Linked DNA regions of Diceros bicornis minor. The protein of the gene in region 2 purifies or fractionates together with the protein of the main gene of each other region. This does not show direct contact. Links are inferred from orthologs where the notes say so. Each region holds a gene or a part of one and is shown on either strand. Other genes may lie near its edges.

What was found. Proteins that work in one complex are often made in the same cells at the same time.
Region 1: the proteins of NUP62 (region 2) and NUP88 purify together in Homo sapiens (co-immunoprecipitation; 4 studies listed by BioGRID and IntAct, counting the BioPlex papers as one, with this or other methods). This does not show direct contact. The link is inferred for Diceros bicornis minor from reciprocal best matches to the Homo sapiens genes NUP62 and NUP88.

The regions. Positions count from the first base shown.
Region 1 is NC_080757.1:12,079,937-12,087,315, reverse strand, and holds the start of NUP88 (nuclear pore complex protein Nup88), read left to right. Parts: upstream 1-4,365; 5' UTR 4,366-4,442; exon of another isoform or gene 4,443-4,486; intron 4,487-4,642; 5' UTR 4,643-4,761; coding exon 4,762-5,064; intron 5,065-7,379. Other genes in the region: RPAIN (RPA-interacting protein), read right to left, coding at 1,141-1,201, 2,762-2,932, 4,162-4,242. UniProt on the Homo sapiens protein: Component of nuclear pore complex.
Region 2 is NC_080773.1:25,283,303-25,290,311, forward strand, and holds the start of NUP62 (nuclear pore glycoprotein p62), read right to left. Parts: upstream 3,020-7,009; 5' UTR 2,795-3,019; exon of another isoform or gene 2,641-2,794; intron 1-2,640. Other genes in the region: ATF5 (cyclic AMP-dependent transcription factor ATF-5), read left to right, coding at 4,302-4,479, 5,431-6,086. UniProt on the Homo sapiens protein: Essential component of the nuclear pore complex. The N-terminal is probably involved in nucleocytoplasmic transport.

The DNA.
Region 1 (7,379 bases), on a different chromosome or scaffold from region 2:
TTTCTATGTATTAACTTCACTGCTATTATCCTCATTTTAAAGATGAAGAAACTGAAGCACAGGGGGATGAAATGCTTTGCTCTGTGCCACACAAGTTAAGACGGAAAAGCTAAGAAGTGAATCTTAGCAGTCTGGCTCAAGAGTCCATGCTCTGGCCTCTTCACCATAACAGCTATCGTTTATTGAAAGCTTTCTGTATGCCAGGCACTGCTCTAAGTCTTCCACACATGTTATTTACGCCTACAAACAAACTTATAGGGTAGGTCTATTATCTTTATTTTACAGATGATAAAAACTAAGCCTAATCAAGATAGGGCTATGCGGAATAAATAACTTACTATATAACGTGCTAAATTATGCACTCTACGGTGCTATGGATACCTCAGGAAGCAGATGCTCACAAAACCCTGGGGAGTCAGTAAAGAATGGATTGAGAGAGAAGGCACTTAAATTAGGTAGTGCACAAGAGATCTGATCATGCACTGTATCCTGTAAGGTAACAGGATTACTATTAATCCATTAATAGAGAGGTACTGTAGGATAGAATAAACATAGGAACTGGACTCACAAAATTAATTTTGCTTCCCAACTCCACCACTAGCTATACAACCTGTGTAAGATACCACTTTCTTCTGTCTCCTACTACCTTGTAGGGTAGTCATAGGAGATAACAGTATCATGGAAGGAGTCTTCAGTGTGCTGAAGACAGACAGCCAAGACTTCAGAATAAAAATAGAGACTTCTGGACACTGAAGATGGAAGTAGAAGAAGGGGAGTTAAGAACTAATTCTGTTTAGAAAATACATCAACACTAGAGTAGCTTGAGGCTTTTTTTTTTTTTTTTTTATCTTTTTGTTTCACTGAGGAAGATTTGCCCTGAGCTAACATGTGTTGCCAATCTTCCTTCCTTTTTTTTTTTCCCTTGAGGAAGATTCCTCCTGAGCTAAACAAGTGTGCCAATCTTTCTCCATTTGTGTATTTGGGTCACCGCCACTGCACAGCCGCCAACAAGTGGTGTAGGTCCGCACCCGGGAACCAAACCTGGGCCGCTGAAGCAGAGCGCATTGAACTTAACCACTAGGCCACAGGGCCCGCCCCTTGAGTAGCCCCATAGTAGGAAGGACTACTCCCAGAGGTCACCTTGGTCAATCAGCTCCTGTTGGATTTCCTCCAGCACAGTCAGGTCCATCGGCCCCTCCAACTGCAAGAGAAAGTGGGGTCATCAGAGGTTTGAGGTTATAGTCAGCTGACAAGCCCCACAATGATTCATACTTGGAGGCTGGCTTGAAGAACTCAGATTTAACTGAAAAAATCAGCCAAGGCCTTCTGCAGAAAATGCTGATAATACAGTAATGTGGTCATGCTGAGAAGTCATCAACAAAAGATTAAATTAACCACCCAGGGACAAAATAATGGCACCAAATTTGAAGGAGACAGTATAGTGCAGCAGCTAAGTATATGGTTCTGCCAGAGCTATGTGACTGCTGGAAAGTTCCTAACCTCTGTAAACTTCAGTTTGGGCCTCTGTAAAGTGGGAATAAAACCTCCCGCAGAGGGTATTTGTGAGCACTGATTGTGATTATGTAACTCAAACATTGAAGATACTGTAGGACACATAGAAGGCACCAAATAATGCATCATTATTATAGAGAGCTTTGATGTTTCCAAAGCAGTTTCCTACCTGTTTTCTTATATTGTCCTCACAATGCTAACAGTATCTTCTTCATATTATACATGTGAAAATTAACGCTCAAAGAGGCAGAGTAGAGTTAAGAGTCAATAGCAAAACCCGGATCAGAATTCTGGAACTACTGACTTCCAACCCAGTGCTCCTCCTGATACACGGTAAATGGTTTCCTATCCACATCCAGCTCCCAACTCTGACTGAGATTAGAATCAGAAAGCTCCTGGAAATTTTTTTTCTTTCTTTTTTTTTTTTTTTGTGAGGAGATCAGCCCTGTGCTAACATCTGCCAATCTTTCTCTTTTTTTCGCTGAGGAAGACTGGCCCTGGGCTAACATCCGTGCCCATCTTCCTCCACTTTATATGGGACGCCACCACAGCATGGCTTGACAAGCAGTGCGTCGGTGCGTGCCCGGGATCCGAACCGGCGAACCCCGGACCGCCGCAGCAGAGCGTGTGCACTTAACTGCTTGCGCCACCAGGCCGGCCCCTCTGGAGGTCTTTTTTTTTTTTTTTTATAATTTTATTTATTTATTATTTATTTTTCCCCCAAAGTCCCAGTAGATAGTTGTATGTCATAGCGCACATCCTTCTAGTTGCTGTATGTGGGACTCGGCCTCAGCATGGCCGGGGAAGTGGTGCGTTGGTGTGCGCCTGGGATGCGAACCTGGGCCGCCAGTTGTGGAGCGCGCGCACTTAACCGCTAAGCCACGGGGATGGCCCTGGAGATCTTTTCAAAAAGAGAGATTCCTAGCCCGTGCCTACTGAATCAAAATTTCAAGGGGTGGAGCCAAGGAGTGAAATTTCTTTCTTTTTAGTTTCATAAGTGATTATGAAACTAATTATGAAACATTATGCTGCAATGATGCAACTGGTCGACAGTCTGGTATTTATGAACCATTAATCTAGACGAGTCTCACATTAAGGGTAGGAGAACCTGGGTTAAAGGCAGTTAGAATCCTGATTGCGGGCCAGAGGATGGATGGGTTTAGAGGACTTGGGGAAACAGGTACAGAGAGGACACTAGCCATTCTTGGTGCTGTAGCACCCTCCCTGAAAACACATATCCCAGCCTGACCTGAGCCAAGGCCTCTGGAGAGCTCTTCACTGACTGCAAAGCATGCCACTCTTCCTCCATCACCTCTTGCACTAGAAGGGTGTTCTGAGCTCCCCCTGGTAGATGGCCTCCAGCCTGGCGGTATTTGTTCAGGAGCCTGTCCCGGCTGTTTCTCATTCTCTCCAGGCATCCCTTGGGAGAAGGAGAAGGATGGGGGGAAAAAAAAACCCATTCCATTTTTAACAAAAAACCTCTTAGATTAGTTGTTAAAACATTAAAGGAAACTTATAGACACAAAATTTCAATTATAATCCTAACTATTGTTATTTTTGCACATTCCTCTCTGGTCCTTATCCACATGTAGACAGGTGAAACCACAATGCTTTGTTCATGTGTTTCCAGATTACTATATCTCATATTCTGTCCTCAATGCCAGTTTTCTCAATGGCTGGGTGGTGATAACTCAGCATCCACTGTGCTATTACAGGACATTTAGGTTGCTCCAAATTCTTGCTACTCTAGATATGGCTATGATAGTCGCCTTCCTGTACAACAGTGTTTCTCAAGTTGGGGCGATTTTGTCCCCCAGGGGACATTTGGCAATGCCTGGAGACATTTTTGGTTGTCACAACTCTAGTTGTAGGGCTACTGACACCTAGTGGGTAGAGGCCAGGGATGCCACTAAACATTCTGCAATGCACAGAACAGCCCACCACAAGGAAGAACCATCTTCCTCAAAATGTCAATAGCTAAGGTTGAGAAACCCTGCTGTCAACAGTCATTTCTATCATCAGATTATTTTCCTGGGATATACCCACTACTTTAGAGATTCCTGGAAAGGTAGGCCATATTACTTACAGGAACTATGCCGAGTGCACAAGCGGTCAGAACTGACTTAGGGCACAACTTTGCTAAGACTTAGTAACTGAGGCTTAGAAGAAACAATTTGGAGCAGAAATAATTTCTGGAATTAGAAATAACTTCTTATTACTCGATTCCTCTCTGGAATAGAAATTATCTCTATCTCGCATGAGGTACGCATACAAAGCGCCTCTCTCGGTGCCCACCTATCCAACAGCAGCAGGCGGTGGTGGCGTTATCGCAGAAGCGCAGAGGAGCGGTCATGACCACACTTCAAATTTAATACAAACCCGAAATCAAAATTAAGGCTTCCTGGGACTGGGCCGGCCCGGGCTAATCCCACACCTAGGGGTCCAGAAACTCTGGGAGGCGGCCGGGCAGTGGCCAAGGCCAGCTCCACAGGCGGGCGGCCAGGGTCCAGGTCCACCTCCACTGGCCAAGCGCTCCCGGCACCTGAGTCCCCCAGCTGGGCTGAGGCGAAGGCACGGAGGAGAGCGGCTCCAGCACGGATAAGAGGAGTGACGACGGCCCAGCCAAGGCTTCCCAAACCCCACACTCACCTGCCGAAAAGCCTCTTTCCAAGGCGGCGAGCCCACCAGTTTGTACAGCGAGCGGCGCCGAGACCCTGAGGGCTCTGCCATCTGCTCTTCGCGGGAGTCGCCGCCAGAAAGCTCCGCCCCCCTCCTCGGGAGCGCGCAGAACCCTGGGAGTTGTAGTTTCTGGGTGCCGATCGCGCTGGCTCGCAGGGAATTCTGGGAAGCGTTGTCTCACCGGCCGGCCCCACACGGAGACACATTTGGGCATCTCAAGGATGGGTGACTGAAGTAGTGACATTTGGGAAGTAAGTCTTGAGGGGAGGTTTTGGATGTGTAGGTTTATCCAGGTGTGAGTGTCCAATAAGCAATCAGACACTACACAGGTCTCAGGCGCTCCCGCAGGTACTGACTTTCCGCAGCACCAAAGCTGTCTCTAAGCAGGTACTGGTCTGTCCCGCCCCCTTTGGCTGCGGTTGGTCTCACCGTCGCCCCGCCCCCACTCTAGCCTCGTGCTTCCGGGCTGCCTGCTCGACGATTGGCTGAAGCAGTGGACGGCTGGCTGCGGATTGGCTGCGCTCAGCGGCGGGTTGAGCAACTGGAGTGAAGGGAGCAGTTGGGCCAAAGATGGCGGCCGCCGAGGGCCCCGCGGGCGACGGTGAGCTGTGGCAGAGCTGGCTTCCTAACCACGTCGTGTTCACGCGGCTGCGGGAAGGACTGAAAAACCAGAGCCCAGCCGAGGCTCAGAAACCGGCTTCTTCATCACTGCCTTCGTCGCCGCCGCCGCCGCCGCAGTTGCTTACGAGAAACCTGGTCTTAGGCCTCGGCGGAGAGCTCTTCCTGTGGGATGGGGAAGGCAGCTCCTTCTTGGTGGTTCGCCTTCGGGGCCTCAGCGGCGCCGGCGAGGAGCCCTCCCTCTCCCAGTACCAGGTACGGACAGGCTGATGTTGGAAATGACCCGCAGCTGGGATCTGAACTGGTTTTTTTTGTTCCCTTCCCATCCTGGCGGTTTTCGTCTTCTGGTGGATGTGCTATTCAAGTGTAGGCACACGTCCGACTTCGAGGGGAAAGGTCTCTCTTCTTCCTTATTTCGTTCCGCTCTGGCATGGCCACATAACCTTTTGAAGCCTCTCTTTCTGTATTTCATTCCTTCGACAAGTGTTTACTGACTCCAACAACTGTGCCCGACACTGTTACAGGAACTCACGCTCTCAACGTGCTTAAGTTCTTGGGGTCTGGGAGGAGGGGAAGGACCATGGAATCATCAATAAAATATCACTGAGGCAGGTGGTCTGAAGAAACACAAAGCAGGGTAAAGGGATAGAGAGCCTGGATGCAGTTGCTGTTTTTAGAAGGTTGGTCCTGAGAAACCTATTTCAAGACATGACACTCATAAAATAATAAGGATAGTCCTAACTTGCTCTTGGGGTTGTTGTGAGCATCACGTCAGGTAATAGATTTGAAAGCACCAGGTTCGGTGCCTGCCATGGAGGAGGAATCCCCTGTTAATTCTTTCTTTTTCCTTTTAGAAAATTAGGCCCCAAAGTTGGAAGGGATTTTTGTTAAGCCAGCAGCATGTGAAAGTGGGTGTGATCAGAAAGTATACCAGACTTGCTGTAATCAAGCAGTGCTTTGTGGAAATGTTTATTTGTAATAAACTGATTCTCTTAAAGATGAAAAAATAAAAAACTTGGCACCCATCCTAATGCATGACATCTGTTGTGTGCCATTGTCCGATTCTTGTTGATGAGAGATGATTTGAATTTTAAAAGGTGCTAGCAGTGTTTCTGCAGTTTTGAAAATAGGTCACAAGTCTACAAGCTACTTACTGTAAAGTTTCAGTTCACAGGACTAATTATCAGATGTTCAGCACACAGTATTCCAATAGTACCCTATGTTGCTGTGCAGCATCTGGCACAGTCATGATGAAATTATTCATACTTGTTTGTTGTTTTTTCTTTTTTTTTTCTTTTTTTGGTGAGGAAGATTGTCCCTGAGCTAATGCCTTTGCCAGTCTTCCTCTATTTTGTACGTGAGACGCTGCCACAGCATGGCTTGATGAGCCGTATGTAGCTCCATGCCAGGATTCAACCCGGCGAACCCGTGTCCACCGAAGCAGAATGCGTGAACTTAACCACTATGCCACGGAGCTGGCCCACTTGTTTGTTTATTGTCTGTCTTCTTTTCTAGATTGTAAGCACCAAGGCAGGGGCTGTGTCTGCCTTACTTATTTTTGTATTTCCAGTACTTCACAGAGTACCTGGAACATATAAGCTCTCAGTAAATATTGGTGACTGTCTGAATGACCCTGAACCCTCCAGAATCTCAATAACTCCGAGATAGGCAAGAAAGCAGCTTAGCATGAGTTGTATTTTGAGCATTAACGAAAGCATGAGTAGTGACTTTAGAAACAAAACAAAGCAACAACAACAACAAAACGCTAAATACAGTGGTTATCACAAGTGATCTAAGGTGATTAGATTGTATGTATAGCAGAAGAAAGGTAGCCTCTGTTTGATTTGCGATATACTGTCAAAATTAAGTAGAAAAAAGATGGAGGTTGAGAAGATAGGGAAGAGAAGGAAAGAACCCCTGACAGGAGGAAAAACAATTTGATTAGAATCAGCAAAGAGCAGCTGAAAAAAACAAAACAAGGTTTACAAACATCAGTAGATTGTTTAGTAGAAATCTTATATTCAGAGCAATCTTGTCTAAAAGGATTTTGGCTTAGGGTGATTCTGCATACATAAGGATAAGCAATACATTGGGAATCTCATGGTTTATTACTGAAAGTAGAAAGAAAAAAAATGGAAATTTGACAAGGTCGTGAAAGAAGAAATAGGTACCAATAGAAAAAGTGAAATTTTTTTGAGGGCATATGATGCTGAGACAAACAGCTTATCCGAACCTCCTGAAAATATCACTGTTCCATGTTAAATCTGCGTAGATAAAGCAGCGTTTTACTTGCTGCAGAAGCTCTTAAAGCCATTCTTTATCTTATTGTATTATTTCTAATATAGTAATTATCATTAATACTTCTGAGTTCTTCATTTGTCTCTTTACTGAAACATATATTAAAAGTCAGTCCGCAATATGCCATATACTGTGCTAAGGATACAGAGAGGAGAGAGACAGGTCTCAAGTAATTCGTAGTTGTGTGGGATGAGCCAAAAAAAGGATAATTAAAATACAGAGTGATGAGAACTGTAATAGAATTGTCCAGAGTGTGGGAGGACAGAAAGATG
Region 2 (7,009 bases):
GAGGGACTGCGGGTCTGGGTCAGGGGTGGGCACAGGACAGGGCTCAGGGTGCTGAGACCTGGTCTCACAGACAGCCACTGATGACCTACCGCCCATAAATTAGAACATGCTGGGAAGAGCTAGGGAGCTAAGTGTGCGAACTGGCACCCTCTCAGCAGGACTGAGTCAAGTGCTTGAGTGGGGCAGTTGGCACCAGGGCTGAACTAGGTGGGATCCAACACCTATAGAGAGAAAAAGGCACAAGGGACTGGGACAGGGGACCAGGGTCCCTGCCCTAGTGTCTTCTCAGTCAGCATACACCGAACACTCATTTCCAGTTATTAAAAAATATCCTACCTAGCCATCCTCTCAAAAACCCATAACCCCAGTCTATGAGACAAAACCAAATTGGGGGACATTCCACAGAATACCCAACCACCACTCTTCAAAGCCGTCAAGGTCATGAAAGACAAGGGAAATCTGAGAACCTGCCGCAGCCCAGAGAACGCTAAGAAGACAGATGACTAAATGTAATATGGCATCGTGGACAGACGCCGGAATAAAAAGAGGGCATTAGGGCGCAACTAGTGAAACCAGAACAGAGTGTGGAGTTTAGTTAATAGAAATGTATGATGTTTGTTCCTTAGTTGTGACAAATGAACCAAGTAATCTAAGGTGTCAACAACGGGGGAACTGCGTGAGGGGTATATGGCAACTCCACTATCTTTGCAACTTTTCTGTAAATCTAAAATTACTCCAAAATAAAAAGTTGATTTAAAGAAAAATACTTTACCTAGTCCACGTGTATAACCTAGGTCTTTCCAGAAGGAGAAGACTCTGGGTGATGACTGGGCCTCCTCACTGCCAGCAGTCTGTCCAAGAGCCTACCCTACTCTCACCTGCTGTTACTCAACATCTATACTGAGAAGCAGAAAGTCGGCCCCTAAGTCTCACTTAAAAGGTGGAAGACTTTTTAAAGAACTTACTGCTTAGCAAAGGAGATAAAACACACACCTCACTAATAATAATAATAATAATACCCCCTTAGGTAGCACCTACTGTGTGCCAGGCACTAGTCTAAACGCTTGACCTCGGTTAACTTATTTAATCCTCGTTAACAGTACTAAGAAATAGGTACAATATAATAATGGCCACGTACATTGGTACGTTTCTATTAACCAAACTCCACACTCCATTCTGGTATTATTAATGGAAACTGAGGCACAGGGAAATAAAGGACATTGCCAGTGAGCTACTAAGTGCGGTGCAGTCAGGGATGGAACGCAATAACCTGGTTCCAGAGTGTGCTCTTAACTGCTCCTCTATACCGACTAGGTATAACGCAGCCCCTATAGCGCCAGTGCTCAAATACCAGCAGAGTGGACAATAAGTGTCTAAGGGAAAGTGGTCAGATCCCAAGAAGGACTTGCTGCATGCAACAAAAGCCTGCGTATGTTCATTCCCAGATAACTCTCAAGATCGGGGTTCCCCCACCTTCTCTGGATCTTGATTCAGTTTCATAACCAACACAAAAGTGATGAAGGCTGAACTCCAGGTGTCACATCCTGATGTGGACAGAGGCAGGGTGGGAAAGGGAGGGGTTTCTGCAGCAGAGGAAAGACCCGCATCCACTTGGGCTGGTGGAGGGCCCAGCCACAGGGAGGGGATGGCGAGGAAGCTCTCCTCTTTTAGCAAATGCAAGTGTAGGTCTCCCCATTTTTGGCAGGGCTGGAACACGGATCCAGTGGGGCGCAGCAGAGGCGGGGGACTCTTTGAAAGGAAGTCAGGGTGAGGGGCAGGGGCAGAAGAATGAACCAAGTGTCTCGAAAGAAGTGCTGAGGATAAGCGCTGAGGGGAGGTGGGCACGGGATGGAGAAAACAGCGAGGGCGACGATGCCTGAATTCCCTGCACCGAGAGGGGGCTGACCGCCCATCATCTGGCGTGGAGGAGGGTGGGGACGGCTGGACACTGAGGAGTAAAGGCGACACTGCTAAAGAATGACCTATTAGCAGGTGTCGGATGGTCAGGAGTCTGGGGCTCTTGGCAGGAGGAGAGCAAGGCGTCAGACCGAGCCCCAGAATTCGTATTAATAATAAAACACACCGAACAGGCCTGCAGGGAGCCGGGCCCTGGGTCCCACGGCTCTCCGCTTATTTCATTCGCACAAACAACCCCACCTCATTTTGCGAACGGTTCCCCATCTATGAGGCCAGAGAACTTAAGTTATATGCCCAAGGCCACCCTGGCCGGTCTATGACTCACGCCAGCCTCGAACCACAAAAAGGGTTGGGGGACGGCAGTTGGGGGATAAGGAGACGAGCATGCGGCTGGCCGGAAATTCGTGAACCGGGGCAGGGAAACAAGAAATGAACCGACGCGGGTCTCGGGGAAGAGGAGGGGCCGAATTCCCGGAATCGCAGGGAGGAGGGGGCTGGACCCCCACGTCGGGGGGAAGGGAAGGCCGGAACTCCCGGGGTCGGGAGGAAGAGGGGGCTGGATCCCCGGATCAGAGGAAGCAGAAGGGCCGGATCCCGGGGTCGGAAGGAAGAGAGGGCCGGATCCCGGGATCCCGAGGGGAGGCCAGGCCCGCCCCCCGGTTGGGGCCGCGCGGGGGCGGGGCGCGGAGGGATCCGAGCGGGCCGTGCTGCGCCGCCCCCGGTATATCTGTTCCCAGTCCCCGGCGCCGCCTCAGTCCCCGTCCTCAGATCACGATCTCTCCTCACGCTACCCCGACGCCGCCTCCGCCCGCGTAGCCCCGGCCATGGCTCTGTAGCCGCCACCCCTCCGTGCCTCACGGCCCATCTCCGCGCTCACCGCGCTTGCGCTCTCCGCTCCCGCCTTCTTTCTTCAGCCGAGGCCGCCGTCGCCTCTCCTTTCTGCAGCCATGGAGTGAGTAACGCTCGCCCCTCCCTCTCCAACCGCCTTTCCCGCCCTTTGGAAGCTCGCGGCCCTCACAACGCGACCTGGGGGATGGCGAGACGAGAGCGAGGAATCACGGTCGCGCAGGCGCAGAAGAGGGAAAACGGGCCGTCGACGCGAGGCGGAGCATGCGCACTCGGCTCGAGGGGGGGAGGGTGCGTTCTTCCAGCGAGTGTTGGAGTTTAAAGACGGCCCGCGTGAGGTTGCGCCTGCGCACTACCCCCCAGGACGATTCCGCCCTCTCGCGGTTGCTCATGCGCAGCAGCCCACCAGAGTCCGTATTTGCGTCCGAAGGGCGGGCAGTAAGCAGCCGCACATGCGCAGTGACCCCCAGGAGGACGAAGCATGTGCTTTGGCCCTGGGTTAGAGAGCCGGGAGTGGAAGGGTGGTGGCGAGGAGAGCTGTTCCTCCCCGGCCTCCCGGCTCCCACGACCTGCGTCCCGGCTTCACATTGCTCAGGCGCACTGCATAGCTTCTCTTTCATCGGGCACCTGTTGGGGCGAGGGCTGGTGTAGATTGACAGGGTAGAAGGCGGGACTTAGAGGCAACCTGTTAAAAAGGGGGTGGAGCTAGGATCACAGCCATCGGGAGGAGTGGGGCTTGAGGGAACCCATTGTGAGAGGGGCGGGGCTCAGCGAACCGTTTGCTGAGGGGCGGGGTTTCGATCCGAGAAAGAGGTGGGGCCTCGGGGGAATCATCGGGGAGGGGTGGGGCTAAGATAAACAGTGAGGGGCGGGACTTAGAGGGTCGGGGGAGGTCACCGCAAAGTTAAAAGGGCAGAGTGGGATTTGAGTGGATCACATGGATGAAGGGGCGGGGCAGGGGGAAATTCCCCTGGGAGCTGATTTGAGATGGACTCGAGGGAGGCGATGGGGCCTAAAGGAAATATTTTAGAGGGGGTGGTGCGGCTGGAAGAAAATTCCCCTGGGATTGAGTTTTTTTACGAAGGGGAATATTATGAGGTGGGTGGGAGGAGTTAAGGAAATTCCCCGGGGAGACCTGTAGGTTTCTGTATTGGAAGGATCCGGGCTTGGGGATTCTAAAGAAAAGTAAGTCGATCCTAAAGCGAATTCCCTTGGGAGTGGGTGGGCCTCAGAGATTTGGGGAAAGAAAGAGCAGATTTAGAATTCTGAGAGCTAGGCTCGTCCCAAGCCCAGTTGGAAGCAGGAGTGGGGGAGGGGGGAGGACCCCAGGGAGGTGGGGGTGTGGCTTGGTTTCCCTGTGACTTCCGTAGTGGGTGAGGCTGGCTTCTGACCCCAGTCGCTTTTGCCTCCCACATGTAGGTCCTCCACTTCCGCCTTGGTGCCTGTCTTCGCCCAGCTGAGCAACCTCCAGAGCCCCCTGTCAGCTGCCGGTGCAGCCTCCTTCGTTGCCATCCGCGCCCAGCGCCTGTGCTGCAGCCATGTCACTCCTGGCGACCCTGGGGCTGGAGCTGGACAGGGCCCTGCTCCCAGCTAGCGGGCTGGGCTGGCTCGTAGACTATGGGAAACTCCCCCTGGCCCCTGCCCCCCTGGGCCCCTATGAGGTCCTTGGGGGAGCCCTGGAGGGCGGGCTTCCAGGGGGGGGAGAGCCCCTGGCAGGTAAGGGCAGGCAAAGAATGGAGGTGGGGTGAATTGGGGTATGGGGGGCAGGGGGAAGGAGGAAGAATTCCTTCATTCATTTATTCATTCAATCCATCAATATTTATTGAGCACCTATAACATGTCAGGTGCTGGGGATACAGATGGGAACAAGACTGACACGATCACTGTCCTCCTGGAGTTCACACTCTAGTGAGGAGACAGACGAGACATATTCAATGATAATGTGGCATAAGTGGGAAACAGTCATTTAGCTGAAAAATGACAACGGGGACCTAGTTTATAGTGTGTAGCCAGGAAACCCTCTCCAAGTAGGTAGCGTTTTGGCTGAGGCCTAAAGCATGGGAGGGAATGAGCCATGAAAAGATCCAAGGGAATAGCTTTTCAGGAGGAGGGAACAGCATATGCAGAGGCCCTGAGGAAGGAATTATTTTATTCATTAATGTGTCCGACATGCTTGGTACATAGTGGGTTTTCAATACTTAATGAGTTAAAGAGGAAACGGGGTGTGTTGTGTATGTGCAATCTAGTTTGCCTTTTAAGAATAAACTAGAGAGTAAATCAGACAAACCACAGGTGTAGAGTAATCAGTAAAGAGGATGTTGGAATGGTTGAAGTAATGGCTAATTGTTTTGTTGTTTGGGTCATTGGGTGGTTGACTGGTTCACTGATTGATTGGTTAAAAGGTTGATTGGTTGGTTGACTGATTCATTTAGTTGGTTGGTTGGTTGGTTGATTGGTTGACTCGGTTAATTGGTTAGTTAGATGTTTGACTGGTTTATTGGTTGGTTGGTTGGCTGGTTTGATGATTCATTGATTGGTTGGTTGACTGATTGGCTAGTTGGTGGGTTTACTCAGTGAATGGAATGAATGAGGCTGACATGAGTGAGCACCCGGTTGGGTGGAGGACCAGGAACTCAAGGACCTTTATGTCCCCCTGCACTCCTCCAGGTGACGGCTTCTCTGACTGGATGACTGAGCGGGTTGACTTTACAGCCCTTCTCCCTCTGGAGCCCCCCTTGCCCCCAGGTGCCCTCCCCCCACCTTCCCCACCCCCACCTGACCTGGAAGCCATGGCCTCCCTCCTCAAGAAGGAGCTGGAGCAGATGGAAGACTTCTTCCTTGATGCCCCACTCCTCCCGCCATCCTCCCCACCACCACCACCAGCACCAGCGCCCTCCCTCCCCCTCCCCCTCCCCACCTTTGACTTCCCCCAGCCCCCTGCCCTGGATACGCTTGACTTGCTGGCCATCTGCTGCCGCAGTGAGGCCGGGCATGGGGACTCGGGTTTGGCCCACTTGCCTCCCCCACAGCAGCCCCCTCCTCCTCCACCTCAGCCCTCTCGCCCGGCCCCCTACCCCAATCCTGCCACCACCCGAGGGGACCGCAAGCAAAAGAAGAGAGACCAGAACAAGTCGGCAGCTCTGAGGTACCGCCAGAGGAAGCGGGCAGAGGGCGAGGCCCTGGAGGGCGAGTGCCAGGGGCTGGAGGCTCGGAACCGGGAGCTGAGGGAGAGGGCGGAGTCAGTGGAGCGGGAGATCCAGTACGTCAAGGATCTGCTCATCGAAGTGTACAAGGCTCGAAGCCAGAGGACCCGCAGCAGCTAGCCGGGCAGGGGCTTTGGGCAGTAGGGGGCGCTGGTCTTTAGCTTGGGTCACTTCTGTTTCTGGAGCTGAGGTGGGAGAGTCCCTCGGCATCCCCCTGCCTCCACCTTCATTCCAGATCTCTCTCTCTCTCCCTCTCTCTCTGCTTTTATTCTCCTCTCTGCTCATCCATTTCTGAGTTTGCTCCCCTCCTCCCTCCCCAGAATCATGGATGTTTGGCATTAGTCAACATCTGTACTCCTCAAGTAACAGCCGAGGGGCTGAGGCCCACAGGGAATTCGGGGAGCAGGGCAGAGCTTGGGAACCTGGTCTCTCAAACAGGGACGTGTGGCCAGGAAGCTATGCAGAATGAGGCCAGGAGAGCCATCTGGGGACGCAAGTCAGGGAGGGTTTGAAGAATGGCACCCATGTAATCAAAATGCCAAGCCAGGTGACCTTCGGGAGCTCCATTGGGGCAGGGAGCCAAAAGGTAGCCAAGTTCACAGAGCAGGTGGATGTGCAGGCAGATGGGGAGGCGGGCAGGGCGGGGGATGGCCATAGTGGGCACCGGGTGTTCATTTTAGCTCTGGGAGGAAATCAGTGTTTTGTGCAGGTGTTGGGAGAGGGGCTGCCTCTAGGTGAGCGAGGGCGGGGACTGATCCTTTGGGGGGTTGTGAGCGGAAATAAAATGAAGAATTTTCTCTGGCCTGTGAGTCTTGTCTGTGAGGGGAGAAGTTGGGGAGAGGGCAATCTTAGGCCAAAGACAATAATGATGATAGGAGACACAACAGATAATACTTCTAGGGCCGCCCCGTGGCTTAGCGGTTAAGTGCGCGTGCTCCGCTGCTGGCGGCCCGGGTTTGGATCCCGGGCGCGCACCGACGCACCGCTTCTCCGGCCATGCTGAGGCCGCGTCCCACATACAGCAACTAGAAGGATGTGCAGCT